Linked DNA regions of Rhinolophus ferrumequinum. The protein of the gene in region 2 purifies or fractionates together with the protein of the main gene of each other region. This does not show direct contact. Links are inferred from orthologs where the notes say so. Each region holds a gene or a part of one and is shown on either strand. Other genes may lie near its edges.

Region 1 (7,618 bases), on a different chromosome or scaffold from region 2:
TTTACCAGACACCTCTTGGGGTGGCTGCCAAGTTCACAACACTGTTTCCTCTCTGGGAAGACTCCCACACAGGGAGAGATCCTGAGTGATCATATCTGAGCCATACGATCTTGTAATCTTTGCTGCAGATGAGTGGTTTCAAAAAATTTTATGTGTCAGAATCAGCTGGAGGACTTGTTAAAACACAGACTGTGGAACCCAGCCCTAAAGTTTCTTTTCCTGTAGGTCTATGGGTGGGGCTTAAGCATTTGCATTTCTAACAAGTTCTCAGGTGATACGGAGGCTACTGGGGTCCCCCGTTTAAGAACCACGGCATATGAAGATGATTAAGTTAGAGAAAGTCACTCTAAGACAGGGCAATCAGCTTCTGTCAAAAATTTGTTTAAATTTAGTTTTCAATCACAGTTGACATACAATATTATGTTAGTGTCAGGTGTACAACATAGTGATTAGATATTTATATACTTCACGAAGTGATCACCCTGATAAGTCTAGTACCCATCTCACACCATACAGAGAGACAGAGACACCGAGATGGAGGACTATTAGAGTAATGAGCTAGCTAAAAGGTTCAAAACCCACCACTGTTTAGGTTCTGAGAGCTGGTCTGGTACCTGTTCTTAGATGGAGCCTTGGTTGCTCAATCCTTTGAATAAATCCTACTTCTTTCTTTCCTTCCTTCCTTCCTTCCTTCCTTCCTTCCTTCCTTCCTTCCTTCCTTCCTTCCTTCCTTCCTTCCTTCCTTTGCATAAACTGGCCATAGAAAGTTTGTGTTGCCTGCCCACAAAATAACTTGAACTAAGACGTAAGTGTATCAGTTATATGTTCCACCATGAAAACGAAAACCATTCTGAGTATTTAAAACAGATATGATATAGTATAGGGAATTGGTCTCATGGGTGATAGAAGGTCTGAGAAGACAAACATGCAGTGAGAGATTGGCAACAGCAGGAAGCTACCTCCACCCTTAGGCTGGAGGGAAAAAGGGAGAAGGTGGTGTTAACAAAGGCTGGGGTGATCCAAAAGATGCTGGAATCACGACAGACCAGTCCAACAGAGGAAATACTGCTGATGCTGCCAGAAACATCACCCAGTGCAACTCTGAGGAGGTGGAGAAATAACCTGGCTTCTCCCTCCTTCCAGCCTCCAATCTCCCAGCAGAACTCTCCATGCTGAGAAGCTTGGAGAAGACAGCCTATGATGCTGAAGACAGCTTGGGGCACTGCGGAAGGACAAGGTGTAAATCTGAAAACAAGCCAAGAACCAGCACTGTTCAATTTGGATTTCTCAGTCGTTTCTTCAAAGTACATTTTGCCTACTTACAAATTAGTGAGATAATATGTGCGTGCCGTATAATTTCTCATAGTTTCTTGTTAAGAATAAGATTTTTTAAATTCAAATAGGTCTTTATTAACTTCTTCCATAATTAGGGGTGACATTTCTGAGATAATCTTTAGGGAAAAATTGCAAATGATAACAAGAATTAGCATTTGTATACTACCTTTCAATGTGAAATGTGTTTTTACAAGTATAATTTAATCCTCAAAATCCTCATGAAATAGGTTTTATTATTAACCCCATTTTTAAAATAAGGAAACTGAGGCTCAGAGAGAATGAGCAGTCACATTGCTCAAAAGTGGTAAAATGGCATGACCCCAAACCTGGTCTCAAGCATATAACCTCAATTGTTGCAAAACACCAAGTTATTGTGTGAAAACACATGCCAGGCTACAAACATAAAATTCTTTCTTTGTTGATGTCTCATTTCTTCCCTTATCTAAAACCCAACAGCTAGAGTAAAACCTTGTAATCAGAACTGAGAGATTATTTTGAAAGATCAGCAAAATACTCCATGGTGCCTTTCCCCTTCTCTACCTGCAGGTCAACTAAATCTGTTCTCAGTGGTCCCACAGGTTCCTAATTAATAGGCAGTGATTATGGGACAAGACGAGGCCTTTCGTATAAGCTCATTTGAGGATAGCAGCAGTCATTTAAAAAGAAAAGAAGAAAAATCCTAAAGAAATCCTTTGAGAATATTATAGATTAAGCTAGACAGATCGGTATTTTTGATAGCTTATGAGACTACTTAGTCACCTAGAAAGAACTAAATACAAACACACAACATAAGTGTGTGAGTGTGTGTGTGTGTGTGTGTGTGTGTGTGTGTGTGAAAGAGAGAGAGAGAGAGAGAGAGAGAGAGAGAGAACGAGAGAGAGAGATCCCTTCTGTCTCCACAGAAATTAAGCTTCTTCTGGATCCAGACTGCATTTCTGATGCTGAAGAGCCATCTTTGTTTCCCCTGGTTACCAGTGAAACAGTGTGCAGGGATCTGTTCAAATCCATCACACTTATAGCAAAATGCTTCCAAACATAATGCCTTGCCTTCAATATCTATTATCTATATTTATATATCTATTTAATAGGGAGGAAGCTCACACATGCACATCCACACATTCCTGTGCTTCTACTCTATTGTGTATGATGTCCTTTATAGATGGAAATGAGCTATGTAACATGACATATCCCTATAATATTAATTGCTACAGAGATTAGATTTTTTTTTTAAAGGCAGATGCCATCCTCTCCTTTGTTGCTGAAGACCCAAGAGAACTTGCCGTAAGCTGATTTGTCCTGTAAAGTTAGTCCTCAGAGTGTGCCTCAATAATATGCTTTTATCTGTAAGGACGAGCCCTGCTTTATGGAGAATCTCCACACCCAATTTGCCTCAATAAATTTCAGGCTCACTGATTATATTCCCATCTAAAGCTTTACACAGTTATAAAACTAGGAGAGCTTTTAGAATCATCCCAGGTCAAGTTACTTTCTGAATATTTTCCCACAATGAACTGCAATACATTAAGCTTACCCATTAGCTAGAATATCACTGATTGTACTCTTGATCTGACGGCCAATGGAACATTTGTGTTGTCTGGGTTCTGTTTAAGATAATATTTGGAATGGATGGGATAGCTCAGAACAGGAGAGCAACGTTCAAAGTTATCTTCTTTCAGTGGGGAAAAATGTGTCTAGTATATGAGGAATGAGCTTGTTAAATGAAAATCAGAATTCAACACTAAAACACCTCTCTCAGCAGAACAAAGCATTTTCGTCTCCCCTGAGATCCTCAACTAGTTCCATGAATATTTTTCTCTTGAACCCAAGATATTGTTCCACAATGAGATGAGAAAATAAGAGTGATAAGAAAAACTTCCACCAACAATTAGATGGAGAGTTCTTTAAAATTTTTAATTGTGAACTTTCTTTTCACAAGATGTAGTCTTCCAGAGATTTGCTAATAGAAATAGGGGTGTGAGCTGATCCTTCTACGTGATTGCAACATCAAATGCCATTATAATGTACTCTATCTTTGCCACTGGAATAATTATGTAGATGCATTGATTTTTTTTCATTTAAAAAAACAGCTTAAGATTTGCTCTGAATGATCATTTTTTCATAATATTTGGTATTCATTGAACAATGAAAAATGCCACGGAAACATTTTATTATTATTATTATTATTATTTAATATTATTGTATTAAAAATGAAATCTTCCTGAAGGTTCAGAATTCTGATACACACTTTTTGCTTACCTTTAAACATTTAGGTGTATTAAGATCATGGCAATTCTTGAATAGCACGCTGTTGTTTGGTTTAGGTCATTTAAAAAATATTTGAAGAGAAAGCTATGGGAAATGAGGCGAGAGTGTTAGGGATTTAGCAGTACATGTGTACGTATATATGTCATTAAAACTTTAGGAAAAGATGTCTTCCTGGGAGTTGAGAGCCATCAGAGCGGGAAGTCCACTGCAGGAAAGAACAAAAGCATGGCTGCGCTACAGTATTATCTCTGCAGCGGCAGAAGCAGCAGCAGCAGCAGCAGGCTCCCTGAGGGAGGGCTGCGGCGATTGTCTTGTCTATTCTGCATTTTTATTAGTGACAGCCTCCGTTATTCTGTCAGCTCAGCCAACTAAGCTGTTCCCCGCGAACTCCGTTAAATGGCAGAAGGAAAGAGAACACAGAAAGGTGAATTGTACGAAGTGGGACACGCGGGGATTTCTCTCCTGCGGGGTCGGCTTCGCCTCATCCTCTGGGGCTTGGGGGAATTCCAGGACCGCATTTAACCCAGAAACCCGTGCGTCCTATTAATTAGTTTACGCGTAGGGAAGACAGTGAGAGACTTAATCGTCTCTTTTCAGCTGAGGCCAACAGAGCAGGGTTGGTCAGAGGTGCCTGGCCGGTGCGCACTAGCCCCGGACGCTTCGGGGCCCTCAGAGCTCTCACAGGGACGAGTGGAGGTCAAGTCAAATAGCACCACGGCAGGGTTCCCCCAGTCTCTAGCCCGCGCAGCCCGCAGCCTAGCTTCTGCACCGCCACCGCTAACACTGCAAGGCTGCAAGGAGGGGAGGGCCGGGGTGTCCCGGCGGAGGCGGGACTAGGGGCGGGGACGAAGATGCCGAGGAATGCGTCGGGAATTGTAGTTGTGCTAACCTCGGTAGCGTGGCTATCCAGGCTCTGCTTGCGGTATTGGGACTACAACTACCAGGAGTCCATGGGCCAGGCTGGGGAGTCCATGCGCACTGGGCGCTACATTGTATCCTATCAGCGGAGGAGAGGGTGATGTCACCTGCGAGTTGGTAACCTACGAGCGGCTGTGAAGGAAACTGTTTAACCGGGTCCCATTGTACCCAGAGCGCAGAGCCGCCTTTCCAGCATGCAGGGGTTGCTCAGGTAAGGGGGATGCGCCGCCTCGCCCGCCGCACTCATTCATTAAGTGGCACCAAGCGGTGGAGCGGGGGTGGGCGCGCTTCTTCGGGCCGGGCTCTGGGTTTGCGGCGCGCCCTCCCGCTGCTTCCCTGGAGCTCCCGGGCCAGTAGGTAAATATTAAACCCGTCCTTCAGGTTAGGTCTGGGTGCGAACAGGACCTAGACAGCTCCGGGCTGCCAAGCTGGATTTGGAAAAATGGCTGCAAGCACGGCGCAAAGCACTGCGAGCCCGGAGGAAGGCGCCCCAGAGGATGAGGGTCCCTCCCTCCTTTCTTTCAGAGGCGCTCGGATGCCAAGAGAGCAGGCAGGGTACCAGGTACAGCCGTCTTGCTGCAGGCACCCCGGGGATGGGGCGCTGGGGGTCGTGGCCTCGGCTGCGGGTTGCGTGCATTGCTGCTGTCGGGAGCTGCTGGCAGAGGAGGAATCCTGAGGCAGGCTTGGTGGATTCGGAGGTGGCGACCAGGAAGGAGGGACTCTGAGCCGAACGTCCACCATCCCTGACACCCTCACTTCACGCTTCATTCGAAAGGGGTGGGGTGACTGTAATTCAGGCAAAGTTGTAAGCTGGAGGTTTCAAAAGGGGCAGGAGGGGAAACCCGCGTTGCAGAAGGAGCAAGGGGTGTTGGCGCACAGCGGCGAGGGGAGGCTGCGCCTCCTGCGGACCGGGTTCGAGGAGCCTCAGAGCTCTTTTGCCCCCAGTCCCTCCGGGGAGGGCGCATCTTGGTCCCCCCTGCACTGATTGCTCCCTCGACAAAGAGCACCTGAGCTGAGGCGAAGCGTCTGCCCGGAGCCCTGGGTTGGGAGGTGGTAAAGCGGTGGGGTGTCAAATAATCTAATGATAAGGCTCGCTTGTGGGGCAGGCAGCCTGGGTAATCGGGTTTTCCCAGCTGATGCGGAAAATCCAGCTTCTTGTGATCCACTTGCCCTCCGATTGGAGACGTGCACGAGGCCCGAGAACTCTATAAAGCCCTCTGGATTGCCTTCCCCTGCCCCTCTTGTTCGCTCGCCTACTCATTCATCAAACCCTGCTAATGGCTCTGCTCTCAAGTTGCTCACAGCCTGGGTTTGGGGTGTTCTGCCTCTTGCCCTCATAAAATATTTTAGTGGGCCCAGGAATAGCTACCTACATTCCCTTTCTCCCAACCCCGCCCTCTTGATTCCCATCTCCACCCCCAGGTGAGCATCAACAGTAAATGCCTCCCGTGACAGTTTTGCTCCCATTAAGCTGGTAGTTTCTTGAGGCTCGAGAAGGACTTAGTGAATTGAAGCGGAGTTTGCCTGCAAGATGAATCCCGTTGCCATGGCGACTCCTGCCGTCGGAATCTTAACTGCTCTCACTGCTGTTTCAATTCGATGTGGCTCTGCTGGCAGCTGGGAGGGCGTGGCCTGTGGGTGTGGTCAAGTGCTTGCTTTGGGCCCAGCTGCTTTCTCCTCTGCGTCCCTTTCACAGCCCGGGGGCTCTGTCCATTCTCTTGTAAATATCTTGGACACAATTCTTCGCTCCTTTCTCTCTGGAGTTCCCATACCTGGTCTCTCCAGCTCCCTTCCCAGATATAATTATTGGGCGCCTTTTTCCTGAGGGAAACTCTGAAAATTACAATTGAAAGGTATCTTTCCCCTTTCAGGCTAGCTGCATCATTTTCCTAGTAACATGTATTATAGTGTTGGAAGCAGCTTTCTCAAGGAGGGAGCTCTCCTGCTTGAAGACAAATCTCTGGCCACCAGTAAAGATCCTCAATCTGCCATAGGTGCAACTCACTGAAGTCTTTAGGGACAATAACTGAAATTGAATTCTGGAAGTCACTGCCATCCCTTGTGGTTCTGATAAAATCTAAAAGGCTAGCCCTACACTGGCTCTGTCATCACTGGCTATTCCACTGTTAGGTTAACCCTTTACCTCTGGGGACCTTGGTCATTGGTAAAGTGGGGAGAGTGTACAGAGAGTTTCCTAAAGTTGATTCTAGGTATAAAATCTTGTGACTCTAAGAAGGACTTGGTCATTGTCTTTTATTTTTCTCAAAGAAATCTGAACACTAGAGTTTAAACCCAGCTTCGGACACCGAGCCTTACTGTACGGAAAAATAATGTGGCTCTTCATGGCAGTCCTGCAAAGTGGGCAAGGTAGCCATGTTACTATTTGTAATATTATCTCTAATACTCCTGCTATTAACCCAGGATCTGGACTGTTATTTATCCTTTTATCTTAGAATTGTTTAGGTTTTGCCTTTTTACAGATTCTTGATGAATGCAGTTATTTGTGATGTAATTGCATTAAGTATAATTAAATTTCACAAATATTTTGTTTTTCTTCTGCTCTCATTTCATACTAAGGTTGATTATCACAGATAGTGCCATTAAGGTGTGTGTGTGTGTGTGTATCTGTGAGCATCTCTCTATGTGTGCAGGTAAATAAATGCTGCAGATGCTGTGTGCCAAGTGGTTGACAGTCCTCATCTCTAAGAAGCAGGTGGTTACATCCCCATGAGGAAGTGGTATTAGAAGTTGTCACTCACTCTTTTTTTGGGGGAGGGTGGGTTCTGAGAAGTCTGCATTTATTATAGGTCTGGATCCAGAATCACTCTTTATTTTTGTCCTAGAGCTTATCATTAACTGAAAAAACAATCTCATTTAATTACCTGTTTACTTCCTGTCTCCCTATAATTCTGACGCCAATTCCAATGTATGGGTTTTTCCCCCACTCCCCTAAGATCTTTGAGAGCAGTGTCTTTGTCTTGTCTATCTCTATCTCTCCAGTATTTAAAGCAGTTTTTGGTCCCGTAGGTATTTAATAAATATTTGTTGAATCAATATAAAGTAGTAGAGCCATGATTGGAGATCCAAGAGCTGTATTATT
Region 2 (7,373 bases):
CGGGATCCTAAGGGCCATTCTGGCCCTTCTGGAATTCTCCACGAGCGATCTGAGGAGAGTCAAAGCCAAATCTTTTCTTTCTCTGGGCAGAGCTATCATTGTCCGGAATGGTGAAATCATTCCAATGTCTCGGGAATTCACCCCGGAGACTGAGCGCCAACGTCTTCAGCTGCTCGTAAGTAGGAACCAAACGTCCTACCCCTGTTCTTTGTTGAGTTTTGTGTCTGTTTGTGCCCTATGTCCAGGGACTCCCTCCCAACACACAGACAGACAGCTCCTTACTGGGAGGAGTACAGGGCTGAGCTGGTGGAGGACGCAGCAGGAAGGAGTAGGGGCCGCTCAGGTGCTCCCTCTAGGCCCCGGCTGAGGAAGGAAGTGGAGTCATTGGTGGGGAGGGAATGGCAAAGGCCCGAGAGGGGTTTACAGTTTTAAGCACTGGCTCTGGAGCTAGACTGTCTGTAATTGTATCCTGATTCGAGTGCTTTGCTAATTGTGTGACTTTGGACAATTCCCTTAACTTGCGTCAGTACTTCCTGCCTTAAGAGGGTTGTTGTGAGCAGTAAATGAGTTAATATAGGCTAATATTAGACAGTGCACCCCACCTTGTAAACTCCATTTAAGGGTCTGCTCCAAGTAAGATCATTTATACACCAGGGTGTGCTGTAAGCCTCATGGCCCCTGGCCCTCTGCTCTGTCTGGCCACTCCCAACCCCAGGGCTTCATGAAACCGGAGCTACTGGGGGGTGAATTCACCCACCTCGAGTTCCCTCGAAGAGTTCAGCCCAAGGAGCTGGGTCAGAGGATGCTGTACCGGGACCAGACCATGACCGGCTGGTAACACTTCCCTCAGAGCTGGGTCCATTCCCATAGTAACGCAAGCAGTCCCTCACCAGCAGCAAGGGGGAAGCTGGAGGCTGGGCCGGGCTGGGAGTTTGGGGGATGTGGCTCTTAGGGGTTTGTGTGAGGGGTGTGGCTCCTAGGGGAGAGGGCCTTTGATGCCTGGGTCATGCCTCCTCTACTCCCCCCCTCCCCAGGGCCTACAAAAAGATCGAGCTGGAGGATCTCAGGTTTCCTCTGGTCTGTGGGGAGGGCAAAAAGGTAAACTCCATGATAGAGGTGGGAGAGGGCCGGAGGACCCATCACAAGTTGTCTAGGGAGGTGGAGGTTCTACCTGAGGGCAGGGCAGGGGTGGGAGGGTCCACTGTTTCAGAGAGTCTGGGAGAGGGCTATAGCAGCATCCCTGCCTCATTTCCTTTAGGCTCGAATGATGGCCACCATTGGGGTGACCCGGGGCTTAGGAGACCACAACCTCAAGGTCTGCAGTTCCACCCTGCCCATCAAGCCCTTCCTGTCCTGCTTCCCTGAGGTGAGCCATATGGGGACCTCCTTAACCACACTGTACCTCCTCCGGGGGTCTTAGGCTGGCTTTCACCGCCGGTGTCCTCATCCGCAAGCTCCCTCTCCACTCTCTTTTCCCACCAGGTGCGAGTATATGACCTGACACAATATGAGCACTGCCCGGATGACGTGCTGGTCCTGGGAACAGATGGGCTGTGGGATGTCACCAGTGACTGTGAGGTAGCCGCCACTGTGGACAGGGTGCTGTCAGGCTATGAGCCCAATGACCCCAACAGGTAGGGGGTGAATGACAGTGAAGGGATGACAGTGGGGAAGGAACGGGTAAAGGGAAGCAATGAGGGCCTGTGTATGTATCTTCCCATGTACATGCTGGTACGTGAATGTGCTCCTGTGCTTCTGGCAGGTACACAGCTCTGGCCCAAGCTCTAGTCCTGGGGGCCCGGGGCGCTCCCCGGGACCGTGGCTGGCGTCTCCCCAACAACAAGCTGGGTTCCGGGGATGACATCTCGGTCTTCATCATCCCCCTGGGAGGGCCAGGTAGTTACTCCTGAGAGGCTCAGCCCCGACCCTCCCGCCGCCATCCCAGCCTCTCCATGCTTACGCCCCACCCGCCCAAGTTCTGAAGTTGTCTCCCTGACCTTCTTTAAGTGGCGGTTTAACTGAAGAAGGGGTATCAGTTAGATCCAAAATTATAGCTATTGGCAAATAAACCAGATGGATTAAAAAATGTGTGTCTTTAATTACTTTGACTGGAAACCGAAAGGTTACGATAAGCTCTTTGGGGTGGTGGAACGTACACCAGACAAGTCCTGAAATTGTCGTGTTCCCAGGTTCTTTCTCCTGCCCTCTGCTCTTCCTGCTCTTCCACACAGCCTCATTTGTCCAAGTCAGTACTTCCAGCCCAGACCTCTCCTGAGCTTTAGAGCAGGGGTGTCCAAACTTTTTTCAACGTTTTTCACCAAGGGCCCTATGCGGTAAAATACACAAACAGCCGGGCCACTCACTCGAGGTGAAGTACGTATTGCCTCACCTGGTTTATTTAAGTAAACTAAATATATTTTTGGAATTTGCTGCAGGCCAATTAAAAATGGATTGCGGGCCGCAGTTTGGACACCCCTGCTTTAGACCCACATATCCCATCTATCTCCTCGGCATTCGGCAGACACTTTACTGAACACACCTCAAGGCGAATTCATCATTTCCTCAACAGACATGTACCTCTGGTTCGTCATCTCTGGGCACCAGCTCAGCTGTTCAAGGTAGAAAGCTTGGAGTTGGTCACCTTTGGCTTCCGTCTATTCCTCATCAAGCTAATCAATCACTTAGTATGGTTGATTATATAAAAATGTATTTAATATTTCTCCACTTATCTCCACCGTGTCACTACCTTAGTACCTCAGTTCTTGACTGCATTAGCCTCCTAATTCATCTCCGAACTCTGTCTCCAGGCCACTCTCCCATTTCCCCCAATATACTTGGGACATAACAGAGTGACCTTTCCGCCGTGTGAATCTCAGTTGGTTATTTCCCTGAGAGAACGTTTCAGTGGCTCCTCACTGCACCGAGACTCAAATCAACACTCAACTCAAGTGTGGCATAGAAGATTCTTCATGATCTGGCCACTACTTCTTCCTCCCGCCCTCTAAGGCTGGGTATTCCACAGCCCAGGCATGCCCCCACTATAACGACTGCCTCCTGTATTATGACTGTCTGTATTAGGAGTCGGTATGGAGTCACAGTTAAGAGCAGGGGTTCTAGAGTCCTGCTGTTTGGATTCTGGTGCCAGATCCAATATCAGCTCTGTAACCTCTCTGAGCCTCAAGTTGCTTCTCAGTAAGATGGAGATAACAGTACTACCTCATAAGGTTCTTGTAAGGACTCATGTAGTTCACATGTGTAGAGCCAGGCCCATATAATAAGGGTTCAATAACTGTTAGCTATCTTTAAGTAGTCTATATTCTGAATTTATTGATCTGAACTGAGCACATAGCTCTCAGTTCACACTCCATAAATGTTGATTGAGCAGGTTAAGAGGCCTGGGGACCAAAGTGCTCTGGACCTGGGTTTCTTCGTTATTCAAATGTGTGGGTTGCACTTCAGATCGTTCAAGTCTGTAGACTTCATTAAGACATTCATTAAGCAAATATTTGTTGACAGCCTACTATGTGCCACTCACTGTGCTGGCCAGCAGGAAGGGACAGGTTGGAGCAGAGGGGACAGCAGGGACAGAGCCCAGCTTGGGGGCCAGACAGGCCCCAGTGTCTGAATTCTTGTTCTGTCACATACATATTGCAAAAATTGGGGCTAGCCACTTCTCTGAGCCTCAGGTTTTTACAGGCACCAGGGGATTGGTATACTTTACCCGAAGATCTGTGATGAGTAGAAAAAGGGCGGAGCTGTGTAGTTACGGAGCACAAGCTAATAAAATGTGAGTAGCCGTCCTCAAGCAACATCTGCTTCCTCAGACGGTACCTTACGAGGAAGGAGATAACACGTGTAAGTAAATACCTCGTGTGTCAAGTCAGACGGGGCTCAGTGCCCTTAGCGGCACAGAAATAACTATTCGGATGAAAACTGAATTCCCAGCTGGGCATCTGGATTTCCGCGAGTGCCCTTTGAGGGGTAGGTAGGAATTGAACTCATGGAAATTCCAGGCCTGGGGAAGGAAGGGAATTGTGAAGTATAGGACATTGGCCCGGGTCGCAACGATTCTCATAAGTTCTCAAGGCTGGGGGATGATGTGGGCTGTACTGACGCTGCAACGATTCTAGGAACAGAAGGTGGGTCTCCTTCGCAGCCCCCAACTTGGGCGTCCCGGAGGCCGCCCTATACCCAGTCCCGCCTCCCGGGAGGTCCCAGGTAATGTAGGGACAGGTGGCTGGGTGGCCACGGGAGGGCAGCAGCGGCCCTTTCTCGACCCCACCCCGAGCTCCTCTCAACTTTCCCGACGCCGGTCCGCCCCTAGGGGCTGGGAGGCGGGGCAGAGGGAGAGTCCTCAGGGATCTGCCTCGCCCCTCCGCCCACTCCGCCCCAATCCAGGCATCTTCTCCGACCCCGGGGGCCGGCGCCCTGGATCCCCTAGCCAGCGGCGGGGGTGACCACTGGGTGACCAGAGCCCGAGCTGTGGGCGGGCGGAGCCTCCCGCTCCGGGCCCGCCCCTCCCCGCCGCGGCGCTAGAGGAGGGCGGGGCGGGGCGCCGGGGTCAGTCTGTGCCTCCGGCTCCCGCAGCGCAGCTGAAAGCGGCCACACGGAAGGTACCCAGGGCCGGGGGCTGGGGTTGGCGGGGAGTCCCGGGAGCTGGTCCCCGGGAGAGTACTCTGCCCCTCTCCGCTTGGCCGGAGCGCGGGGCGCCGGCTGGCTAGGGGGCTTTGGCCAGAGCGCCGGCCGCCTTCTCTCGTCTAGGACGCGGCATCTGGGCTGTGCGGGGGTCCGGCCGGCTCAGCCTCTTCCTGGGCTGTAGCTGGGCCCCGGGAACTGCCCCACCGGGGCTCTAGCCTCCTGGTGTCCAAGCCAGAGTCCCTTCTCTTCTGGAACCTGCCCGCCTGGGAGAGGGGACAACTTGGGTCTCCGGGAGGGAGTCTCCGCCCAGACCTGGCAACTCCCAGGCCGGGCGGCCAGCGGTGGACCTGGGGTGGAGTGTGGGTCCAGGCCAAGGCCCGGTGGAAGTGATGTTACCCCCAGTCCCGGCCGTGAGGATGGCCAGGATAGGGGCGGGGTGGACACCGCCCTAGACGGTTCCTGGAGCCTGCCTTGGGTGGAGGTAGGGGAGATTAGGAAGGATCCAGCTCGTGTGTGTGTGTGTGTGTGTGTGTGTCTGTGTGTAAGTGTGTAAGGATCTCCTCCCTTCCAGCCCTCTCCCTCACACTCCATAACCTGTCTAAAGATTAAAGATTATCCTGGAGGTTTGGTCTGGGAGACCCGAGGCCGAGTCCTGCCCTCTGCTCTCACTTCCCGTGTTCAAGTTGAGAAGGAGGAATCTGATTCTTTCTCTACACCTCAGGGTGGTCGGCAGGGAACAGCTGGCCCCCGGGTCATCTGGAAATCCATAGAATGACTGAGGAGAGGGTGGCGGATGTCATTCTTGTCTCAGGGAAGGCCCCGGGAGTTCCAGGCTCCATTCCAGGCCATGTGCGGGGTTTGGTTGCCCCTCTTGGGGTCAGTGGGGCAGTTCCTCTGGGGCTGCTTCTCTCAGGGAGCTGCTATCCTTGCCACCTTGGCCTTGGGCCTAAGTGCGCTGGCCTGGGCCAACCAGAGTTTGAAGGGAAAGTCTTCTAATTGAGCTGGGGGCTCCAGGTCACTTAATGCATGCCCTTGACCCTGAGTTCTGGCCTGCGCCTCCCACTGTCTAGTGCCACCCAAACTGCTTTGCTGGGGGAGGACAGTTGCGTTCTCAGGCTTGAGCAATTGATCATTGCCCTCCATCGACACTGCCCATCTCACATTGGGGCTATCCCACTGTTTTCACACAGCTGGACCAATGGAACGAGGGAGGAGTTGGTCACCTGGGTAGAACTTCTAAGGAACCCCTTTTGGGAAGGATGGTTTCCATTTTTGGAGGGGATCAGCTGGCATGGTGAATGCCTTCTTGCCTGTCTTTTAGGGTGTCAGGGAGAGCCCTTTTTGAGGTAGGGAGAGTGTGACCGTGTACTCTCAACTCCTATAAATTCTCTCTGACTCACATCCACTTCCCCTCATCCCAGAAAGAGAGAGCGAGAGAGAGAGCGAGAGAGAGAAAGTGCTGAGGAGGGAAACCACTCAGGACCCCACTGTTGAAGAGAACTAGACTTGGGCTGGAATATTCACTTCCTAAAGGGCAGACAGAGCCAGGGGTGTGAGATAGTTGGTGGTGGTATGTGGGAAGTAAAGGCGTTCAACATAGTTTGACAGGATGTGGGACGCAGAGAAAAAGGCAGGTTTTGGGCAGAGATCAGGTTACCCTCTCCTTTCTGAACTACTCCCTGCCTGGTTGGTGCTGGGACTGGCCCTCATTCGTCTTCTTTTTGGGGGCTCCTCCCAACAGCCTCGACTTTACGTCAGCCTTGGAACCCGCCCCTGTCTTCCTCCAGGCGTGGAGCCTGGGCACTTGAGCCGGCCGGAGGTCAGCCCCTGTCCCCAGGGGAGGAGGACACGAGGCTCAGCTCCGCAGGGAATCTGGGAGCTGATGAACTTGTGTCGATGTTTATTAGTGTGGAGGACGTGGAAACCCCAGGAAGCTGACTCCTTGCCCTGAGTCACTGGGAGGGGTGGCCAGGGCCTTGGGTGAACTGGACAAAGGGGAGGAGGGGCTGCTCCAGGGAGTGGGTGGAGGTGACTCCCTGGTGGATTATTCTCACTCGCTCTGCTGTGGTGGATGTGCTGCTCCCTACAGTGTGGTCATTGTCCCCTGCCTGGGGCTGAGTGACCCAGTGTTGCTGCCAGGCCCAGGAGGAAGGGGGGAGGAAGGCAGGCTGCCCGAATGTGGGCTGTGGGCACTTCGGGACTGAGCCTCCTTTGTATGACTTGGGGCTTTGGGAACCGGGATGGGGTGGGCCAGGGAAACCACCTGGCTGCTGCCACTTCTGTCTTGATTTCCCTGCCTCTGTTCTTTCTACCTCTGGGGTGACATGTGGAAAAGGCAACAGACTCTATAGTCACACAGCCCTGCTCTGAGTGCCGTCCCTGCCACGACTCTGCTGAATGTCTCAGCCTCACTTTCCTAGTTTGTCAAAACAGGAAGCTCTCCCATCTCCCTTCCAGGCCTTTGGGGACTGAGGGAGGTAAGTTTTGTTAAAATGCCAGCAGTTTCCCTTATCCACCTACCGCCTGGGAGCTTGTTCTGTTGGCCTGTGATTTTAAAGAGGGGCTCATTTGTGACTGGCACAGGCATGACTTGTGCGGAGGGACAGTGTGTTCTAGATCGGACCTTAGCGATTATTAAATTTTGAAAGTACCAAAACCCTGGCAACAAATGAAGTCTGACTTGAAACCCTGATATGTATAGCAGATAAAGGCTGGCTCTTCTGGACATGTCCCTG
Region 3 (7,680 bases), on a different chromosome or scaffold from region 2:
ATGGAGTCCCGGGGTCGTGCTGGTGCCCAAAATGTGAGTCCCTTTCTCTCTTCCACCCGCTTCACTGTTAGTTGTGTCATTTGTACCATACTGAGTTCATCCTTACCGGTTATATTTCATGGTGGCTTCCCCAACATACCCTGCTGGGGTTTTTTGTTGTTATTTTTTATTGTTTTTTAATTTGCATATATTAGTTATTATGGAATTACATATGGTTGTGTAATTTTCATAAATGTTTATATGATTTACATTAATTAACTGTTATTATTAATGAGTCACCCTGGGATTAACTGACTATTTGGGTGAAATTAGCAATAAAAAATGCATCATTAAAGATTTTAATGTAAAAATAAAACCAGGAGGTAATCTCATTAATTTTCAATATATCAATGTGTCTGTGGTCACCTACCCTAGACAGTTAGTTTGTATGTTACGTATGCAGGTTGTAGAAACAAATTATAAAATGTTTTAGCACATTCATTAATTGTAAAATAACATCTATATGTAAAAATTAATTTGAGCATCCCACTTTCTTAGATGTACAATCCATCATAAACAAGCCACTCAAGTCACCAGCAGTTATTTCAGAGACAACCTTTCTTTGTCCTCGTTGAGGGGTTGAGGGTGGGGACTCCTTGGGCACGAAATGATTCATTCTGAAAATTGGCAAATGAAAGGAACAAACATATAATCTGTTTTGTTTTCTATACAAACTGTATTTCGAAGGGATTAAATCATTGATGGGGAGAGCTTTTTAAAAAAGAATTCCAGCTAAGCAGTGCTGGCATATTAGGAAATGAGCACTTTGCGATGCCTGATGAAATACGCCTGCTGAGAATAATGCTGAGGGTGGCACAGCAGGCCAACCTGCCATCCGGAGCTCATGGCACCTCTGAAAATTGACCTGGGGCTTGTCCAGCCTGAGACGTAGGACAGCACACCGGGAGGGCGGAGGCAGGCCAGTAATCCGGAAGTGCCAGTAAGGGAAGTCTCAACCACAGGTGTCCCAGTTTCCTCCGCACCTGAGGGCACAAGCACAGAAAACTGACTGTGGCACAATCAAGGTAGATTGGGCCTTTGTCCCCATTCCTAGCCCAGAGTTCCAGCCCTCGGAATGTCCTGACAGGAGTGGCTTTTGTTATTTGTAACCAGTCCCTTTCAACCACAAGCAGTTTATGGTAATGAGATGATGACTCTGGGTGGTGTCAAGATGGATGCTGGTCACCAGAAAGACTAGGCATCATTAGAGGGTTGGCACTCTCAACCTGGTCCCCTGACCTCTCAGAGGGGACAGAGCTGTAGGTTGAGTTAATCACCAACGACGATTTCATCAGTCTTGCCTCTTAATGAAGCCTCCATGAAAGCCCCTAAACAGTGGGGTTTGAAGAGGTTCCAGGTGGTGAACAGGGGTAAGTGCTGGGAGGGTGGAGCTCCCCGGAGTCCCCCCCCCACGCACCCCTACCCTGCGCATTTCTTGCTGGTCCTGAGTTGCGTCCTTTATAATAAACCGGCGATCACAGGTGAAGAGCTTTTCTGAGTTCTGTGAATTGTTCTAGCGCATTTTTTAACTTAAGGGGGTGATCGTGGGGACCCTCAAATTTGTTTATCCAAAAAAAAGAATCCTTTTCCTTAGGAATAAACACACACTGAAATCCACATGGTGGAAACCACGTGTGAGATTTGCTTCAAGCTGTGTGTGGGGAGGAAGAGGGACAGGTCAAACGGGACTGGCTGCCAGGGAAAGCCACTGAAGCCACGTGGAAGGTCCATCAGGGTTCATGACACCACGCTTTCTACTTTGGTGTGCGGTGGGCCACCTCCTGGCACTCACACCTTGCAGTCCCATACTTCGCTGGGCCAGGACAGATCTGCGTGCCAGTATAGTAGGGCAGAGTGATGGCATGACACTTCTGAGATGACATCGTAAGAAACGCAGCGGCTTCATCTGACTGCTTGCTGCCCCCTTCTCTGTTCTGTCTGCCTCTGCCTGTCCATCTGTCTGTCTCTGAGGCCTCACTTGGAGGAAGCCACCTGCCCTGTGTGATCAGCTCTACGGAGGGGCCGGGACGGGAGCTATAGGTCGCAGGGAACTAAATCCTCAGGCCATCAGCCCACGGGTGTGGAACTGAGGGCCCAAGCACGTGCGTGAACTTGGAATTCCAGCAGGTCTTGGAGACCGTGGCCCTCCTGCACAACAGCTTCATCACAGCCTCCTGAGAGACCTGGAGCCAGAACCATGAACCGCACTGCTACGCTGCTTCCCGATCCTCAGAAACCATGGGAAATAATAAGGGTTGGGTGTTTTGAGCTGCTAAATTCCAGGCTATATTTTACACAGCAAGAGATTACTAATACACATATGTTTAAATTTTCTATAACAGAGTTTGGGTTTTCTTTTCAAGGTACATGGGTCATCTGAAAGCAGATTTGTCCTCGAGCCATGACTCAGGTGGCTGTGCAGCGGGACGGTCCCCAGTAAGTTGCCTCAGAAGCAACACACTGAACACCAATTAGGATGCTCTGCCTTTGGCCAAACTTTCTGCCTATAAAGTTGATAGTGCAACTTTCAGTTACAGAAAAATTGCAAATACACCTCAAAAAGGGAGAGAGATCTTTCCAAAACATACTGAGCTCAGTATTACGCATTGTTCTATCACCCCAAATGCCCTCCTGCAAACGGTGCAGAGGTGTGTGTGCGATGACTTCTGTCAGCCTGGGTTCCCTGCCAGGCAGTGTAGACCAGACAGAAGGGCCCTACCGTCCTGGAGTTGAACCATCATTGAAGGAGGCATGAGTCCATTGTCACGTGATTACAATTTTACAAGTGCCGGGGGGTGAAGGTGGGGTGGCACACCCCCCAGGTGGGGCATTTAGGGGTTTGGACCCCACACGGAGGAGTGCCGGGCGAGGCTTTGGGTACTGCAGGCTCTGCGAAACAGCCCACATTTTATGGGGCCCCTGGTGCTACAGAATGTTGTTTGGTGTGTGGACCAAGGTCTGAAATCCATACAACTAGAGCACACAAATGGAGACACTGGGGTCTGTGGTAAAGAGCCGACTGAAGTAACTGTGTCATCTGTGCCAGCAGCTTCCGAAGTCATGAGAGGCGAGGAGTTCCTCAGTGACCAGCTCCCCTGAAGTATTGCTCACAAGGTAGCCAAGTGTGCTGGGCCCAAAAATACTCCTTCAGTCTGGAGGGGAACATACAGGCACAGGACAGTGGCCAGACCCCTCTCCAGGAGGGCAGTGCTGGGCCCAAGCGTGCCCTGGACACTGAACCTTGTTCATCGCAGGGGATGGCAGGGCAGAGGGTCACGTGCACAGCCTTGGACAGGCTGCGAAGTGAGGAGTGAGTGAAGAAAAGATGACTCAAAATGGAGTTCCTATAGTCAAGCCAACAAAACTGGTTCAGTGCAAATGGGCTGAGCGTGAGGAATGGGTTTTATTTCACCAGCCTGAGTGAGCACTTCAACTGTGGAACTTCCCAGTTGTGCGTGGATGCCTGGAAATACGTATATATCCTACAGCCAGCCTCTGAAGGGCTTGGAAAAGTGTTCCCAGGTCCGAACCACCGACATCTGGAAGATTGTAATCTCAGGCCAATCCAGCACCACTAGAATGCTTGACGGATTTTTTTTTTTTTTTTTTAAAGATTTTATTGGGGAAGGGGAACGGCCTTTATTATTGGGGAACAGTGTGCACTTTTTTTCCCCAAGTCAAGTTGTTATCCTTTCAGTCTTAGTTGTGGAGGGCGCAGCTCAGCTCCAGGTCCAGTTGCTAGTTGCAGGGGGCGCAGCCCACCATCCCTTGGGGGACTCGAGGAGTTGAACTGGCAACCCTGTGGTTGAGAGCCCACTGGCCCATGTGGGAATCAAACCGGCAGCCTTCGGAGTTTGGAGCACGGAGCTCCAACCGCCTGAGCCACTGGGCCCGCCCTGGACCGATTCTTACAGCCTGCTTTTTCCTATGAGAACTCTTAGCTTTTCTTCTTCTGAACCCTCTGGGTATTGCCTGGGTTTCCGCTTTGCAAACCCTTGGCCAGGTGAAATCAATTTTTACCTTTTATTTCTAGCCAAAGCCTCCCAACTGTCTGTGCTGGGTGCACAAGACACCAGGAGATGCCCACCCCCGGGACTTGGACAGGACGGGAACCCACAGAGCGTCCTGTGAGTGGTTGGTGTGAACTCGACGGAACATCCAGTGTTCACTTCCAGGAGGGTGAGGCAATGGCGAGGACCGACGGGCTGGCTCACTTGGGAGAGCGGCCGGAGCGGACCCCGGGTGTAGCGACCACCGGGCTGTGAGACCAGGCCAGCGCTGGCTGCCAGAGCAGGGCCCGCTGGGCCCGGACGTGGGCTGCGCGCCTGCAGAGGGACAGTCCCGCGCGTTACAGATGGCGGCAGAAACGCACGACGTCCAGGTGGGGTCCACGCAAGACGGTGACACTGCCCCGTCCCCGTCTGAGTTCGCGGGCTGAGCCGTGGGGACGCCCGAGCTGAAAAATGCCCGCAGCAAGGGGCGCAGAAGCACCAACCAGACCAGCCTTCGCGGGCAAACCGGCCTCGCGAGCCGCCTACGCGGGACGCGCCCACGAGATTGGCCCCGCAAGATGGCGGCCGCGCGCTCCCGGCAGACCCCTCGCCCGCGCATGCGCCCTCCGTCGGCCCGCCCGGCCTGAGCGGAAATCGCGTGACCCCGGAAGTGGCCGGCAGGGCGCGCGCGGGCGGGGCGCCGACGTTCGTCATTTTGTGCGGGAGGGAGCGCGAGCGCGGCGCGGTCGAGCCTCCGGTGAGCGCCAGGGGCGGCGGCGGAGGCGGCGAAAGCGGCGGAGCTGGGAGGGGGCGGGGGCCGAGTCTTTGTCCGCCCCTCCCGCCGGGGGGATCTGCGTGGGGCGGGGGCGGGGGCAACAGTGACAGCGGGCGGCGGCCGGGGCGCAGGGCGGGTCCCCGGGCGCACGGGCGTCCACGTGCGGGCGGGGGGCGCAGGCCTCTTTGTGGCCGCCGTTCGTGCGCGGCGCCCCCTCGCCGGTGCGCGCCGGGTGCACCAGGCCTGACGCCCCTCCCCTGGGGAAGGCGCGCCCTGCCCCCGGCCGTCTCCGAGCTTCCCACCCGACCCCACCCCACCCCACCCCACCCCACCCCACCCCTCGGCCAGCCCTGATTGCGGGTCCTGCGGCCGTGCGGGCGCCGGCAGTGCGCTTGGAGGATCCTGTCGCCTGCGTCCGCACTTGCTGGCGTTAGGGCGTGAGCTTTCTAGAGGAATTCCAGAGGAAGCGCCTGGGAGGCCTGGAGGGACTGGCGGCCCCACCCCGCCTGGGGCGGCCGGCCCGCTCAGAGCGGCCCTTTGTGGGATCTGGTACTCGGGCAGACCCCGGCTGCCAGGCGTTGTTTCTCATCCCGTGGCAACTTGAGGTCCGGGGTCAGCTGGCCCTGACCCACCTCCCACACAACGAGAGGGGTCTGCGGGGGTTTCAGACACACCGTCCGGGATGCTAGGGGGTGCTGTAAGGATCCTTAGCCTCCTGTACTGTTCTGCGCCTGCTCCAACAGTGTTGCTCCAGGCTCTTCTAGCCGTTGCTTCACGAAGAGGGTCTTGAGAATACCCAGGAGCTGCAGCAGCTCCCAACTCTAGGTCACAAACCATCACAGCGGGAGAGAATGTGGGCAAACACTTAAAGTTCCCCATGCGCTTTTGGGACCTACCTGCGGGATTCAGGCTGGGCCAGTTATTTGAGCTCTAGGAGAGCCCTGTGTTTGCAGGGCGAGGCAGAACTGACCTGTGTTGTGGATAGAGGTCTTGCATTCTGGCCAGGACGGGGCCAACGGGTGTCCCTGGTCAGAGCAGCTCCCTGAACCAGCAGGAGGGGTACCTTGGGGTGAGGACCTGGGCACTTCAGAGCAGCAGAACTCTAGGTGACTAAGTCGGGTTCTGCCAGTCCAGGCTGGGGTTGGTGCCACCCCCTGGGGATGCCTAGTCCCTTGAGACGGGCAAGGCAAGTTAGTGAGGCCCCTCTTGGCCCCAGGAGCCTGTGTCTAGGCCCTTTGCAAAGGTCTGGCTGCAGCTGCCCTCCCGCTCCAGAAGTTGCATCACCCCTTGGCTGCAGCTACAGGGTCTGGCCACCTGCAAAGATGCCTTCAACACAGCCCCCTGCTGCCAGGGAGCGGGAGGGGGAGACACTGGGTCCCTGCAGGCTGCCACAGCCCCTTCCGCCCCCCTGCAGGTGTTCCGGACCCAGCTAGAGGTGAGCATGGCAGAGCAGGAGCCCACAGCTGAGCAGCTGGCGCAGATTGCGGCCGAGAACGAGGAGGACGAGCACTCAGTGAACTACAAGCCCCCGGCTCAGAAGAGCATCCAGGAGATCCAGGAGCTGGACAAAGACGACGAGAGCCTGCGCAAGTACAAGGAGGCCCTGCTGGGCCGCGTGGCCGTCTCAGCTGGTGAGTGGCTGGACGGCACTGAGACTGAGGGGACACCTGTGACTCTTCTGAGTTCCCCGTGCGGCTCCCTACCCCAGGCAGGAAGTTGTGTGCTTGAGGTGGGACGCCAAGGGGTGGAGCTCTAACCTGCTGTCACTCCACAGACCCCAATGTCCCCAACGTTGTTGTGACCCGCCTGACCCTGGTGTGTAGCACTGCCCCAGGCCCCCTGGAGCTGGACCTGACAGGTGAGTGGCGCCTCTGAGGTCCCTGGCTGAGGCTGTGTTGGACACCTTGTTGCTTCCTCTAAAAATGGTTTCCTGGAGACCGTGCGCCCTCTCGTGGGGAGCACAGGAAGGGCCGCCCAGTGGTCAAGGCTCTGGCTGTGGGGGGGGGCAGGGGGGATGCAGTCCCAGTGGAGTTGCCCAGGTGCGGCTTCCCCTGGCTGAGCCTCCTAGCGCAGTGTTCTCCTGAACACAGGCGACCTGGAGAGCTTCAAGAAGCAGTCATTTGTGCTGAAGGAGGGAGTGGAATACCGGATAAAGATCTCTTTCCGGGTAAGGTGGGGGCCCTGGGAGGGAGGCGCTGGGGGGGCCGGGGCTGGAGAGCCCAGCTGAGTTCCGCGTGGGGTCCTTCCCGGCAGGTGAACCGGGAGATCGTGTCCGGCATGAAGTACATCCAGCACACATACCGGAAAGGCGTCAAGAGTGAGTGAGGGTGGGCGCCAGGCCCTGGCCCCCAGGAGGGAGGTGGCCCCGGGGCCAGGATCGGGAGGGAGGAGGAAAGGCTCCCTGACGCCGCCTCCCTGCCCTGCAGTTGACAAGACCGACTACATGGTGGGGAGCTACGGGCCCCGGGCGGAGGAGTACGAGTTCCTGACCCCCATGGAGGAGGCGCCCAAGGGCATGCTGGCACGGGGCAGCTACAACATCAAGTCCCGCTTCACAGACGACGACAAAACTGACCACCTGTCCTGGGAGTGGAACCTCACCATCAAAAAGGAGTGGAAGGACTGAGCCCGGCCTGGGAGGCGGGCAGGGCGATGGACGGAGGGATGTATGCGCCCCACCCCACCCCACCCCACCCGACCCCATACCAAAGTGCTGACAGGGCCCCTGCCCACGCTGCCATCTCCCCTGGTTTGCCTCCTGGCCCGCCCGGCCCTCCCCAGCCCACAGGCCCCAGCCTCCCGGTGATCTAGTGTTGTTGCTGCTTCATCCTGTGCTGTGGGGGAGGGAAGCTGCAGCCCAGGCCTCCGCCTCCC
Region 4 (7,456 bases), on a different chromosome or scaffold from region 2:
AGGCTATTTTTAAATATCATTTATACTTTATTTCTACTATAATTATCTGTGTATGTCATACTCTTCCTGTTAATATTATAAGCAACTTGAAATTAAATGTCTTATATACCTTTGTCCTCCCACAATACACTGCACATGATTGACATTCAATAAATATTAAGTACATGTTGAGTTTATAATAAAATACATACATAAAATAATAGCATAGTTCATAAAATTATATAGGAAGTTTCCTTCAGTTCTTATGTAGAAAAATTACTGCCATGAGAATATATTTTTTTAAAAGTTGCCTTATTTACTTCTTGAAAAGACAGATAAAAAAGTGTTTTCCCCCCTAGCATTAATCAGTATACCTTCTACCTCTTACATGTACATGAATTATTATAATAACTTCCTTGGCTCAGAATATAAAACGGCTTTCCACGGTTTAAATTTTACATTATTGCACGTACCTACTGATGACACACTAAATCACCTTACCGTTGAAAACAACCTTGTAGAAGGAAATGGCTTGCTGGAGGCTGCCCCCAAACCCATACCTCTCAGACAACCCAACTTTTTTTGTTGTTTTTTTCAGAGAGGAGCAGTTGTAGTATAATTATACATCTCTATTCCCACTTTCTCCACACCTCCAATAACATCTACCAACCCAAATGTTTTTCAGAGACCATACTTTCAGGTTCACAAGTTAAAAATAATAGATGGGTTTTAAATTCAACAGTTAATTCACCAAAAATTTCCTTAATACCTACTATGTGGAAAGCACTGTTGGGGACACAAAAATTAGTAAGACATAATTTTCATCTTCTAGAACTCACTATTAAATGCACAACAGACACACATAAACAGTTCCATTATAAAGCAGATTATGTAAGTTCTAAAAAGCTTCCAACAAGGTACAGACAGAGTGCTATGAGGAGAGACGAATTTAATTAAAGAGTTTCTGAGAAGCTTCAAATAAGAGATGGATTTCTATTTGGCTTTTTTTTTTTAAAAAAAAAATCAAGCAATAACATTCCAGATTTCCAGGATTAATTATTTTTGAGTAAATAATTTCGTTTCAAGTATTTTTATTCACTAATATTGAAGAATTGGGAGTTTTTCCATTGAAAAGGTACTGATTTGACATGTTAGTTAAAATTTTAGTTAAATAGATTTTTTTAAAGTTCACCTTGAAAGAAAACATTGGAAGATGTATTTTACAGACCACTCTTGTGGTATATAATTAAGAAGAAAATTTTTTATGTTCAAGAAAAAGATACAATGTGTCCAATAATCTTAATATTTACTTAAAATTCTACTCCCAGAGAAAGGCTAGGTACATATAAATGGGCCTCTCTGTTTTTACAAGTGTTTGTTCAGCATATCAATAGTACATTAAAAGGGAAAAAACTGAACAACTGAAAATGAAATTCAAGGCCCTAAATTCATTTTTCATTCACACCACCTCTTCCTCCAACACTGGCTTCTTCCAGATATATGGTCAAAGGTCTAAATCAGACCTTGAAGAATTTGCTTTTCAAGTAGGCTCTCACGACACCATTTCTAGATTTAGATAACTTCCTTGTAGATTCTGAGTTGCCATGACCTAACTCTGGACATGCTGAACACTGGGGACAGATGAAAGGATCACACTCATTTCAAGCTTAAAATAACTTGCACAGAAGGGGTGGGAAAAGTCCGAGTTGACAGATGACAACGGAGCACATTTTAAAAAGAGGAAATTATACCACAGGAAGGAGTGAAACAAACTGGGGAACACACAGAAGTATGTTATTCCAAATAGCTACTATTAAAAACAACAACAAAAAAATCTTTGGCTTTTAATTACATTACAGAATTCATCAGACGTTTTTGTAATTACTGAACTTAACAGTCCCACAACATATGAAAAACGGTTAGGATAAATGATATGTAGTTTTACAAAACTACATTTGCATTTCAATATCTCATTCAAACCAACCTCTTGGGATTAACTACGTAAATACAAAAGAACCCAAATCAGATTATGTAGATTTAGGCAGGGGACGCTGGGAACGGATAACTAATATAAGTTCGGTAACATGTCACACGGTGCAGTTGTCTGCTACAGTAGACAGGCGAGGGAACCCCGTACACGGGTTGAGTACAGGAATCCTGCACACTGTAGTCACCCAACAGTAATTCAACAGCTAGTGGCTCTATCCATCCTTCCTACATTCCTCGTGGCCTCTGACAAGTCATCCTTTCAACCTATGAGGCTGTCCGCTCTCGCTCATCGAAAATAATTTCCGTGCAGGTAGTAAAATCGCCCTCACAAACTACTTGCTCCCACTTCCCCGCCTCGGGATGCGCCGTCCCCACGATGGGGAAAAGGTCGCCCAGCCAGGGAAGTTACGTGAAGTGGTCTTTCTCGGGGTCGACCCCGAGCCTGCAGCCCCGCAGACGCTGGGGAAAGGCGGCAGGCGGCCTCGGGAGAACGGCGGGTGGGCAGAGGATGCGAGCCCGCGAGGCAGGCTCCGCGGTGCCCCGGCACCGGCTCGGGCAGGAAGAATGGAGGAGGGGAGGCGCGGCGGCGCGGTGCCCGCGAGCGGCGCGGCGGTCCGGCCCCGCGGCCCGACCCCACCCCACGCTCGGGACCCTCCCGGCCGCGGACCCGGCGAGCGTTCCTCGCGCCCTGACTCCCCCGAGGCAGAGCCGCCGGTTCACACCCGGGGATCTGAGAAATCCGGCAACTTTGCGCCGAGAACGCTTCCCACCCTGCAACACGCCGAGAAAGAGGAAAATGTCAGGCGATGACGGGGGAGGAAGGGTGACTTACCCATGTTCCTCCCGAGGGTGAGGAGCCAGCAGGGCGAGGCGAAGGTCTCCGGTGCAGGCGTCGCGGCGCTGTGTCCTCCCTCTGCCTCGCTCTCGCCCGCTGCCAGGGAAGGACCCGCGGGGGGTGGCCGCCGGGGAGGAGCAGCTGCTGCTGCTGGGGCTGCTGCTGCTGCAGGCGGCGCGGCCGCGGCGGGGACGAGCGGCGGGGGGCGGGGCGGGGCGGGGCGGGGCGGCGGGCGCAGCCTGCGGCGGGCGCGGCTCGGAGCGGGCGGGCGGGCGGGCGGCGGAGGCGCCGGGGCGGCCTGGAGACCGCCCGCCCCGACGCGCGGCCCGGAGCGCCCCGCCCTCCCCAGCGAGCATGCTCAGTGCCGCCCTCCTTTTCTCCCCGTGGCGAGGGAATCTCGGCGTGCGGGTGGGCGTGTGTCTGCGGACCCGCTGCAGCCGCCGCCGCGGAGGACCTTGGTGGCGACCGCCTGGGGGGCGGGGGGTGGGCCGCGAGCAGGCCTCGCGCTGGGGTACTGAGCCCGAGCTGCTGCCGTCCGGCTCGCCCCAGGCTTGCTACGGGGCCCCCGCCACCCCCACACCCGGCAAACGGGGCTCCCCGGCTGCACAGGCGGGAGGTGCCCGAAGGAGGAGACGCTGGGCCGCCTCAGTCAGGGCAGGACGGTGAGGAAACCAAGCGGACGTCCTGAAACGAAGCGGGATGGACGTAGAGCGACGTGGCCAGGGGCTGGGTACCTGGGGACGCCCGTGTGCCGAGCAGCCGGTGGGCCCGCGGGGCAGCGAGCGGGGAGGTGGCCGCTGGGAGGGCGTTGCAGGTTAGCGGGCTTATCAGTGGGACGGCTCCAGGCGGTCCTGGCTGTGGCTCGTTTAGAAACAGAGAGTTCCGGACAGCCGAGGAGAGTGACCGCCCAGGATTTCCTCCGGGAATATGTCTCTCTCCTTCCTCAAGAGGGCGGGCTTCCATTCCTCATCCCCCGGAGGACGCCTGAGAAGCCATTTAACAGGGGGTGCCCTCGCCTTCGGGCTGCACCCAGCTCCGCCCCGCTCCCTAGGAACGCGGCAGGAAGAGAAAAGTCCGGCTGCGTTGGCTGCGGCCCGGCGGGGCTGGCTGGATCGGTCACCTGGGCCGCGGATGGCTCCCGGCACCTCCCAGGTGCGCCGGGAACCGGGGCCGGGCGCTCTCTCTTGAGGGCTTCTCCCGGCTGGGCATGCGCGCCAGGTGCGGGCCGGTTTTCGGTTTCTGCCCTGGGAGAGGAGGCTGCAGGGACTCTTCCCTTTCTCCGCACCTGGTCTTGCCCTGACCCGTCTGTTTTTGGAGTTGAGGAGTCAGGTCGCCAGGAAGAGGGGAGCAGTCAGCAGCATAATCTGTGGGAGGGAGATGCTGAATAGCTGAATGGAGGTTTCTTTCCCCCTTTCAAATTTTACTCTTTCAATCCAATGTTGAGAAAAGGTGCATTTTACTCCTTTCATCGGTGGCCCCTTCTTAGATCAGATCAAATTTCCGTTTGTATGACAGAAGTTCCTGCAAGCACAGAAGTCAGAATGGGCCTTGTAATTTGTTCAGCAGAGAGCAGATTTTATGTGACTTTTCTAAAACAAAAATGAAACCGTTAAAAAGAGAGGTTTAGTGAAACAAAATACAATGTAAGTGCAGAAGGCACAGCTATAAAACTTCTGATGCACAAGACAATGAGGCACCTCACTCTTGTGTTACACTCCTTCCCTTGCTGTGATTTTTAGGATGATCTTTCTGTTTGCCTCAAAGTAATCTTACAAGGTTGAATTAGTTTCCAGCTGGTGTAACAAAGTACCAAAAACTGGGTGGCTTAGAACAAGAGGAACGGGTTCTCTCAGTTCTAGAGGCCAGATGTCTGAAATCAAAGTGGTGGCAGGGCCATGCTCACTCTTGAAGGCACCAAGGAAGGATTTCTTCCTAGCTTCTGGTACGTCCTTGACTTGTAGCATAACTCCAGCCTTCAATTTTCCATTCATAAGGACATCACCAATCCGATTAGGGTCCCAACTACTCAAGTATGACCTCATCTTTAATTATATCTGCAATGACCCTATTTCCAAAACGGTCATATTTCGAGATACTGGAGGTTAGGACCTCAACATACGAATTTGCGGGGGACACGATTCAATCCATAACATACACCAATGCAAGCTCCAGCCTCCACCCCCCTTTGTCCCCCGACACACACCCATACCATGTTCCACATTCATTTTGGACCTCTCCAGAAGACCACCCTGGCGCATTTGTATTGCTCATTTTTTGTACCTTGGTCTTTCCTTGACCTTCATTAATCTCTTCCAGATTCTCTAGTTCACTTGTTTCACTTTTCCTGCTGCTTCTTTTTGTAATTAACTACAATAATTTAATTACAATAATGTCTAAGAGCATCTTCTGTCTTTCGTTTGGATATATAAATTGAAACTAGCAGCAAAAATAGTTGATGCAGCTTTGTGACCTCCCACCGGATGCTAGTTTGAGTGCCTTTTTGTTTTGCTTGAAGCCACAAGCCATCCCCTCAGCCCTTTTACCAATTTAAACCACAGGATTGTTCAGGCACATTGCACACAATGAGTCAGTCCCAACACTGATGTGTAACCATGGTGAGACCCAATACGGTCGCCTCCCTTATCCACACTGACTACATTCCAAGCCCCCAGTGGATGCCTGAAACCACAGATACCACTGAACCCAATATGTCCTATGTTTTTCCCATACATCTGTACATACATGCCTATGATACAGTTTATAAATTAGGCACAGCAAGAGGTTAACAATAGTAAATAGGACAAATATAACAATACTGGAATGAAAGTGATGTGAATGTAGTGTCTCTCTCTCTCTCTCTCTCTCTCTCTCTCTCTCTCTCTCTCTCATAACCAATCTAATAACTGAGATGGCTAAGTAACTAACTGTTGGGGAGTGGATATGCCGGACAGAGAAGATTTACATCCTGGACAGGATGGCATGAGAATTCATCACACTAATCAGAGTAGCGCATAACTTAAAACATGAATTGTTTATTTCTGGAATTCCCCATATAATATTTTTGTACTCTTGTTGCCCACGGTTAACGGAAGCCTAGGAAAGTGAAACCTCGGCTAAGGAGGCACTGCAGTACTGCCTGCTACATGCAGAAGTGGACTGGTGGAATGCTTACCCCTTTCACACATAACGTTAGTTCCCCTCCCTTTCTATTTTAGGAATATAACATTTTTCTCATACCTTTACTTCACGTTTTTGTTCAAAAGTTACCTGCATGAGGCCTTCCTTAGCCATTTTACCTAAAATTTCAGTACTCTCTCCTACTTCTTATGCCCATTTCCATACTTTATTTTTTCCTTCGCACTTATCATTAAGGTTTATTTTGCTTATTGCCTGTCACCCCAATTTTAATTTGAGCTCCCCAAGGACAGAAATTTTTGTCTGCCTTATTTGCCATTATATTGCCAAGGCCAGAAGAATGCTAACACATAACAAGTGGTCAATAAAAATTTGTCGTGTGAATGAAAGTCTTTTTATTCTTTCTTTTAGAGTTTTTATTCTGAAAGAGCAAGACTATTGTTAATATTCTTTTTGTAAACTCTAGCATTTCACCAAGTAAACTTATTCAGTAAAGGTTTATATGGATGACGATCATGATGATGATGACAGCTGCTGTGTTGTTTCCGTCTTAAACAACAAGTCCTTCACTGGGTGGAATATAGTCTTTGTACTAATTTATGCACCCATGTACTCCATAGAGATGTATTGAGTGCTTAGTATGTATGAGGCTCTATGATGGGAACTTGGGATAAAAAACTATGGTCTGTTCTCAAAAAGCTTATGTTAGAAAATTTTCTTTGATGATAACTCTCGTCATTGATCATATAAATAGCTAGGAAATATTCACCTGATATCAAAAGAGTTTTCCAGAAATAAATCGATTAGTGCCCATGCTCCATGTTAGGCAATGGTCACAATTTGATTAGACTTGCTACAAAATAAAGGAGGGCATTCTGGCCCAATGCAGACATTTTCAAATTCTATCTAAAAATCCATATTCGTAAAGTATCACAGATTTATCTGAATATCAATTTATTGTTGAAAATTGGTTTGTAATTATTCAATAGCGTTTGGTAGTATGGGGAGTATCAAGGAAAATGTTTATTAGAAAGGATCAGAAGCACTACATTTTGGCAATGTTTATAACATATCTTCCCTCATAACCTCATTCCCTTATAACATAACTTCTAACAGAGGTTAAAAGGTGATTTAAACTATTTAAAGGAAATGGTAGGGGCAGAGCTAAAGGAAGTAAAAAGAGAGTTTCTTCAAAGAAAATAGGGAATTGATTGCCTTCACCATGATGCTCTGAATATCATTTAAGGGACTCTCACTGGAGTAGTTAACTGAACTTTGCAGTGATAAAAACTGATTTGGCAGTGAATAGTTTTCTGCCTAAACACTTTATTTTTAAAAAGCCTCAGTGAGATTAGGGTAATCCAGGCTGAACAATTGAAATGTATTAATCCCTGAAATGTTGTAACTGTAACCCTCTCCCGTCACTTCTCATTTACTTAATATATTAACCATTTCCCAAATCTTATGAAATATAAATTTCTTTTACAGTCGTATTACGTCAAACTGACTAATGTCTGC

Evidence for each region.
Region 1: the proteins of RHOC (region 2) and DAAM1 purify together in Homo sapiens (affinity purification with mass spectrometry; 3 studies listed by BioGRID and IntAct, counting the BioPlex papers as one, with this or other methods). This does not show direct contact. The link is inferred for Rhinolophus ferrumequinum from reciprocal best matches to the Homo sapiens genes RHOC and DAAM1.
Region 3: the proteins of RHOC (region 2) and ARHGDIA purify together in Homo sapiens (affinity purification with mass spectrometry; 4 studies listed by BioGRID and IntAct, with this or other methods). This does not show direct contact. The link is inferred for Rhinolophus ferrumequinum from reciprocal best matches to the Homo sapiens genes RHOC and ARHGDIA.
Region 4: the proteins of RHOC (region 2) and RAP1GDS1 purify together in Homo sapiens (co-immunoprecipitation; 3 studies listed by BioGRID and IntAct, counting the BioPlex papers as one, with this or other methods). This does not show direct contact. The link is inferred for Rhinolophus ferrumequinum from reciprocal best matches to the Homo sapiens genes RHOC and RAP1GDS1.

Annotation. Positions count from the first base shown.
Region 1 is NC_046289.1:35,264,335-35,271,952, reverse strand, and holds the start of DAAM1 (disheveled-associated activator of morphogenesis 1), read left to right. Parts: upstream 1-4,616; 5' UTR 4,617-4,729; intron 4,730-4,899; 5' UTR 4,900-4,960; coding exon 4,961-5,080; intron 5,081-7,618. UniProt on the Homo sapiens protein: Binds to disheveled (Dvl) and Rho, and mediates Wnt-induced Dvl-Rho complex formation. May play a role as a scaffolding protein to recruit Rho-GDP and Rho-GEF, thereby enhancing Rho-GTP formation. Can direct nucleation and elongation of new actin filaments.
Region 2 is NC_046305.1:43,950,962-43,958,334, reverse strand, and holds the start of RHOC (rho-related GTP-binding protein RhoC), read left to right. Parts: upstream 1-4,371; 5' UTR 4,372-4,613; intron 4,614-7,373. Other genes in the region: PPM1J (protein phosphatase 1J), read left to right, coding at 91-175, 716-834, 1,035-1,098, 1,259-1,366, 1,483-1,634, 1,763-1,910. UniProt on the Homo sapiens protein: Regulates a signal transduction pathway linking plasma membrane receptors to the assembly of focal adhesions and actin stress fibers.
Region 3 is NC_046304.1:54,657,720-54,665,399, reverse strand, and holds the start of ARHGDIA (rho GDP-dissociation inhibitor 1), read left to right. Parts: upstream 1-4,666; 5' UTR 4,667-4,788; intron 4,789-6,220; 5' UTR 6,221-6,247; coding exon 6,248-6,437; intron 6,438-6,580; coding exon 6,581-6,664; intron 6,665-6,896; coding exon 6,897-6,973; intron 6,974-7,059; coding exon 7,060-7,123; intron 7,124-7,232; coding exon 7,233-7,432; 3' UTR 7,433-7,680. UniProt on the Homo sapiens protein: Controls Rho proteins homeostasis. Regulates the GDP/GTP exchange reaction of the Rho proteins by inhibiting the dissociation of GDP from them, and the subsequent binding of GTP to them.
Region 4 is NC_046288.1:50,129,150-50,136,605, reverse strand, and holds the start of RAP1GDS1 (rap1 GTPase-GDP dissociation stimulator 1), read right to left. Parts: upstream 2,907-7,456; 5' UTR 2,852-2,906; coding exon of another isoform or gene 2,805-2,851; coding exon 2,801-2,804; intron 1-2,800. Other genes in the region: myosin heavy chain IB, read left to right, coding at 2,803-2,851, 2,907-3,465. UniProt on the Homo sapiens protein: Acts as a GEF (guanine nucleotide exchange factor) for the Rho family of small GTP-binding proteins (G proteins) that stimulates the dissociation of GDP to enable subsequent binding of GTP.